2 linked regions of the Arabidopsis thaliana genome follow. The protein of the gene in region 1 interacts with the protein of each later gene in a pairwise test. Each region holds a gene or a part of one and is shown in the gene's direction. Other genes may lie near its edges.

Region 1 (2,668 bases):
CTTCTCTTTCTCCAGCAAAGCTTCTATGTCTGAGCACTTTTGCTTCTCTTTCTCCAGTTGAGCTTCTATGTCAGAGCACTTCTGCTTGAAGATCTTCAGCTCTTCCTCTAGTTCTTGCATCCGAGACTTACCAATCTGCTCTTCCATCTTCTTTTCCTTCACTTCCTCCAATTTACGCTCTAACCAATCCACCTTAAAGTCCGAATCTTTCAGGTATCTTAGTGCTTTCTCTGCCTGGCCCAGGTCATCAATGGAAATGTCTTGCAGTGACTGGCACAGTGTATCGATTAGGCTGAGGAGGACATTCATACATGATGTCCTCACATGTTGGTTCTTTGCTCGGAACTCTAGTGCCATGTTTGGGTGTCTTTCAAAGATACGTTTCACCGATTCCACCTACAATTGTAAAAAAAGATGGATAAAGTATAAACTCATGTATAGTTTGTATACGTATCCACAAACTGAATGGTTAGATTATAAAGATGCCATTTATTCCCTACATTGTCTTAGTGTTCTACTGATAATTTCTAAACAGAAAAAGAGACCACCTCTAATCCAAAGTCAGCAACAACAAAGAAGGAACTGGTAAGACTTATAAGTTTGAAAAGCATCTGAAATCAGTTCCTCCTATCTAATGAAAAGCATCTAAAAAGTTTGAATCTTTATGAACTTGTTACCTGTGAAGGAAGAACCTGAAACCCATTGACATCAATGCTTTGTTTTACGGAAACACCATCATCGTTTAGCCTTATCCTTTTCAGAGGTTGAGTTACTTCTTGAGATCCCTCTGAAACATCTAATTTGCCAATAACTTGAAGAACATCAACCTCCACAACAATCTTGACTTCATTGTTCACAAGAAATCCACCTTTCTTCGCATTAAGTTTGGTAAGGGAAATCATGTGTCGATTCCCAGAGAGAACAACGTTTTGGTCAAACCATGTTTCCGTTTCTATAGACAAAGAAAAGATAGAACTGATCTAACTCAAAACAAACACAAGCAGACAGAAATATAAATCACAAAAATAGGAACTTTGCTTTGTCCAAAAGCCTTATAGAAATCACCTCGTTGTTGGGAAAGTTCATCGGAAAGTTGATTTACAACAGTTAGGCGAAATCGTGTGTATCTTCTCCATCCACAAGGCAATGTTTTTGAAGTAGCAACCATCAGAAACAGAGACAAATAATTAGCATTCTGATATCCCTTAAGAAACCTGCAAGCAAAAAAACCATAGAAAAAATGGAAAGATGTTCTCATAAACCCTAAGTTGGACCAAAAAAACAAAATTAGAGATATAACAAACTTGTCTTCTTCTTACCATTTGCAGCCACCGATAACGAATTTATCAGAATTAATGTACTTAGATTGCAAAGATGAGAAATTCTTAATCACCCAAGTGAACTTCTCATACCCCATTGAACTTCACAACCAAACTATCAAAGCCTAAAGTTAAGGACGACCAAAGCAACGAAACCCTATAACCTGACTGTTCACTAGCACTGACACTGTTGTGTCGAACCGTTCTTGCAGCGCTCGTCTTCTTCACTTATATAGATTATGGGCTTCAGCCCAATCGCATTTTGGCCAAATTTAACATAAGTTTGTGGTTGGATTGAAAATAGTTAAAACAGAAGGGGTAAAAAGGTAAATAAACTTAAATCTCTTGAAACATCCATAGGCATAGCAAGTATCAGAGAGAGACCTACCCTAGTCCAAGAAGAAGAAAAGAGTTTCGTGTTCTTCAAAAAGCAATCGGAAGATGGTCGAGCACTTAGCGTCAATATACGGAACGGAGAAAGATCGCGTGAATTGTCCTTTCTACTTCAAAATCGGCGTTTGTCGTAACGGAGATCGATGCTCTCGTCTCTACACCAAACCAAGTATCAGCCCAACGCTTCTCCTTTCGAATACGTATCAGCAGGGCCGGCTCAAACAATTTCTGGACCCAGTACAATCACGAGAGAAGGACCCTAAAAAAAAATTTTAACTTAAGAAAATTACATTTCTTAGTTGTGATAAAAACGATTCCTAATTAATCTGATGAAAAGAGAACATCGACAACTAAAAAAAACAGAGGACAACAGAACATCCTTCAAAACATTCATTGCATAATCGTTCAAGTAAATAAAGCCTTTCTTTGTACATGATCTGCAGCAAAATCATCAATCAACGTCCCGATATTATCACTCCTGGTGTTGATGTATGCAAAAAGATTTCGAGGTTTGTAACTTTTTCTTCCTCAGGAGATTGAATTTTGGGAATGATTTATGTACGAAGCTACTTGTTTGCAAGTATCTTCCTCGTACTGTTGACAAGTAGCTTCGTACATAAATCATCCCAAAATTCAACAGTAAAAAGCATTAGCATGTCACATGTTTCTTCTTTTGTCATGTGTGGTTCATATAGATTTCCTATGTTGTACTAAAACCACCTGACTCTCTTGACAGTGGATTGAGGAGGCAGTTATATGGAAGATACAAAAACAGGCATAGCCATTGCGGAAGTATAGGAGCCCTTACAGGCATTATAGTCACGAAGATCGCTCTCATGAAAGGCATAACCGCAGTAGAAGTATGGTCATGATGATGGGGAGAGCCGTAGCAGGAGCAGAAGATACGGGAGCAATAGTCCTCGCCGCAAGAGAGGACGGAGGAGTAAGAGGAGAAG
Region 2 (4,050 bases), on another chromosome or scaffold:
AAGAAAAAGCACAATATTTAACAAACAAAAACATAACCTGAAACAATATAAACTTACTTTCTAAATTAATAAAACATTTGACCGAATGGGGAATCTAAAAGTGTGTCATATAAGATATTGATTTAAAGACCTAGATGACGTATGGGCTTACATAATATGTGGTCAACATTGAATATTATAGTCAGAGCAAACTTCGCACGAACAAATCAACTCCAATCTCACACCAATAGCATAAGACCATGCCGTAGTCTATATGATTGCCACAAAAGAATTATTCTTATTGGCCAACTTTGACCTAGTGTTATATTTGTATTTATATCTTTTAATTAAGTATTTATTGAATTATGTATATACATTGATTGTTGCATTCATCTTTTTTACTTAGTATGCCATCTATTCAATTAGATGAACACATTGTAATACTATAATAAATTACGTATGTTTAGTTACGATAGTGCTTTAATTTTGATCTAAACCACATGATCTAGTCAGAACGCTTTGATCGATATTTGTTTGTGTTTATTTTTTTTGTTGTTGCTAAATTGTAAATATCAGTAAGGAATGAAAGTTGGGGCGTACAAGAAGTTAGACCTATAAATATAATTGCTACTTTGCCAAAAAGGTATAAAAACAAGGGAACATATACAAGAGAATTTTATGAGATTCAATAAAAGAGCTTTAGTGGAGCCACACGGTTGCATCAGTCTTGAGAAGCTGCGCAAATGTCGTCTTGCTGAGATTGAGTTACGGAGTAACTTGTATATTGTTTTGGAGTAACTTGTGCTTGGGTTCAATTGGTTTACTAGTACTTTATGTAGCAAGTTATAGAACAGTTCATATCTGTATATACAGTTTGTGAGGGTGGCATTTCCACAGTCTCTATTGGTATTGTATGTTTATGAGACAATTCATGTTACGTATATGAATTGTTACAAAACTTTATGTTGTGACCAGCTACAAAATTAGTTACCAAGTCAATATCCATGGCCACGACAACACAATAGCGGCCACTATACTAGTGAACAAATCATCGGTAGCTATACTTCTTGGAAATGGTAATGAATACTACAAAAATAACCCCACAATATTCTTAAGTTTTTTGTGTGGCTACACGCCTACACTAGCTTAGTCATGGATAAAGTCGTTTACATATGTGATATGTCCGCCTAACCAATGAGGATTCTGATTTCTGAATCGGGCAGATTTGTCCGGAACACGATCTATGCTCATGTAGGTCCTCATCACTCTTGCAATGATCTTTACCACAATTAATTCACAAATTCAACTTAAAATCTTATAAGTTGAAAAAGCTCCGATCCTCCCTCTTTGTTCACATTAAAACAAAACAGAACTTATTGAACACATATCTGCATGACTGCATTTTAAAAAGAAAACTAGCTGTATTGGGCTATGTTGTGGGCTTCGCTAGCCCATGTAGGTTGAATATCTCTTGTCATAGTAATGACCATCTATATTGAAATAAAATTCTTATGATAACACAAACCATATTAAATCTGAACATTGATTCACGCAAATAGAGATAGTTGGCACCAAAAGTCTAAGACGCACACTCATCTTCATAGGAAACCCAAACCCTAAGAAATGGAAAATTAACAGCTTCATAGTTCAAACGCAGAATAAAAATAACTACAAAGGTAATATTCAGTTTTCACATAAATCATTTTCCTTTTTTCTATAACAAATGGATTTCCTTTTTTAAACAGGAAAATACCTGAAAAAGTTAAGGCAAAGGTGGCTACTAAATTATTTATATATCTACGTTCCCTTAGCTCTCTGAACTTGAGTCTAAGATAAAGAAACTCTCGACGACATCTTGAGAATCGAACGAGAATGATCCAAAATCTGCAAAAATTACCCCAAGACCTCCAATCCTCGGCAATGAAGATGCCTCCTCCCTTTTCTGCGTCGAAGACTCAATACTTGTTCCACGACGAGTCATCGGAAAACTCTAAAAAGAGTTTGGTCTCCACAACTCTTTCTTTGTCGTCTTGTGAAAACCCTAATAAGAGGAAGATGAACTCTGACGAAGTTCTCAATATTTCTTGCATACCAAGAGACTACAAATTAACACAAGTAGAAAGAAAGATTGCACGAATGAGGAATCTCTCGTATCAAGAAAAGGCAGAGGACGAATGGTACGGTGTCTCAACAGAACTAACACTCTTCAAGGATCCGTGGATCATCAAAAAGGTACTAACCACTAGCGATCTTGGCCAGATATACAGGAGAATCCCTAATATTTGAATCAATATAGATGTTCTGGACATATTCTTAAATTATTTCATATCGATCTGATTTTTTTTTTTTAGTCATAAAATATGAAAATATTTGTAAATGTAAAATTTAAGAAACGCTTTTCAGAAACCATTTATTTACTAAAAAAAATATATGACTAAAGAAAAGAGTTTTGATCCTTTGGTCAGGTTTTTCACTTTGCTTCAGTCTTGGATATGGCTCCCAACTCAGTCTCAAATACTCATTGCTTGTTGGACACGGAGTCACCAGAAAACGCTGAAGAGAGTTTGGTCTCCCTGGATCTGTGTTTCTATGACAAAACATGGCCACATGATCCCAATGTTGCTTACAATAAACCAACGTCCGAAGAAGCAATAAACCTGGCGTGGATGAGGACTATGTCGAAGAGAGCAAGAAAAGAAGAGGAGAAGTACTACGTCTCGACAGAACTAACTCTCCTCACCGTCGCTGACCCATGGACCTTGAAGATGGCAATGACCAAAAGCAGTATTGGCAACCTATACCGTCTTGTTCTAAAGGCGAGCTTTGTAGACATCCACATTCTGAGATATCTCCCTTTGGATGATCAAATGATGGTCAAAGAAGACTCTGGATTAGCAGTCGAGGTGTATGATCACGACACTGACTCTGTGCACAATCTGGCTCTTAAGAAATGGGCCAAATCTTCAAGCTTTGTTCTCGTCAGCGGATGGCGTAAGTGCTTTGTCGACAGAAGAGGTTTGCAGGTTGGCGATGTGATTGGAATGTATTGGGATCGTTCTGAATCTAAGCTTCATTTTTGTGTGCTTTCTCGTTCCGAAACAATGGATTCAGCTCCTCTTCCTCCAAGTCCATAGGACCTCACTAGCTATGGAGGCTCTGCAGAGAGATTCTTATTTTCTTTATGTAATCGTCAAACAAGTGATTGGTGTTGTTTCTGTTTTTTTGTTGTTGTCTCGGTGTTTTGGTTTCATGTGTTTTTGTTTTTTAAGTATACCGGTGTTGTTTTTTATGGTTTCATGTGGTTTTTATATGTTTTAAGTGTTAATAAAGAATCCTGCTCTCATTATAAGTAAAAGTAGTTGAGTTATTTGTTACAAACCCACATATAACAATGCAACATAGTAGTTGTAGACAAATCCACCACGGGGCATTAGATATTACAAAAGAATATTTCACATTCTCTTAGTGTTTTAGGATAAAGGAAAGGTCGAGTTCGCGAAGTCATTTTCCACATAACCAAATTGCATTGTTGTCTCTTGCTTAGCATCGTCTCGAGCATCAATTTTCAATTTAAAACACAAAGAGGAGATATATATGTGGAAAAATTAGGCAGAGAATCAAAGATACTTTTCTTGAACAAGACCAGTACTAAATCGTTTTAAAAAGGTACTCAAGTTTCAACTATTACACTTGCTACTGCTTCCTTCACTATCAAACTACGAATCTTAAAGATAAAACATGCGACTAAGCACACGCATGAGATCAATCCCAAAAGGTAAACGTCACTGGGAAAGTTAAGAACAAATCCAGAGAGCCTATCGACTCAATTTATATAGACAGTGTCACTATGTCTTGGGGGTCTATCAGGAACCGTACCTGGTTTGAATCTGGACGCTTCATGTCTCGCCAGCTCAGGAGGCACCGCACTGTTGCTCTGAACAAGCATCTGCTTCAGATCATAGAAGACTTCGGTATCATGAAGTGTCAAGAACGAAGTCGCAACACCACTTTTCCCAGCACGTCCTGTACGTCCGATACGATGTGTGTACATCTCTATATGTTTAGGCATGT

The links.
Region 2: the proteins of AT3G44785 (region 1) and AT2G33720 interact in a two-hybrid assay, tested with the Arabidopsis thaliana proteins (one large-scale study listed by BioGRID).

What each region holds. Positions count from the first base shown.
Region 1 is NC_003074.8:16,327,541-16,330,208, reverse strand, and holds AT3G44785 (Zinc finger C-x8-C-x5-C-x3-H type family protein), read left to right. Parts: upstream 1-1,760; coding exon 1,761-1,988; downstream 1,989-2,668. Other genes in the region: AT3G44790 (TRAF-like family protein), read right to left, coding at 1-396, 678-952, 1,066-1,214, 1,320-1,417.
Region 2 is NC_003071.7:14,261,877-14,265,926, forward strand, and holds AT2G33720 (AP2/B3-like transcriptional factor family protein), read left to right. Parts: upstream 1-1,855; 5' UTR 1,856-1,899; coding exon 1,900-2,211; intron 2,212-2,444; coding exon 2,445-3,113; 3' UTR 3,114-3,326; downstream 3,327-4,050. Other genes in the region: AT2G33730 (P-loop containing nucleoside triphosphate hydrolases superfamily protein), read right to left, coding at 3,803-4,050.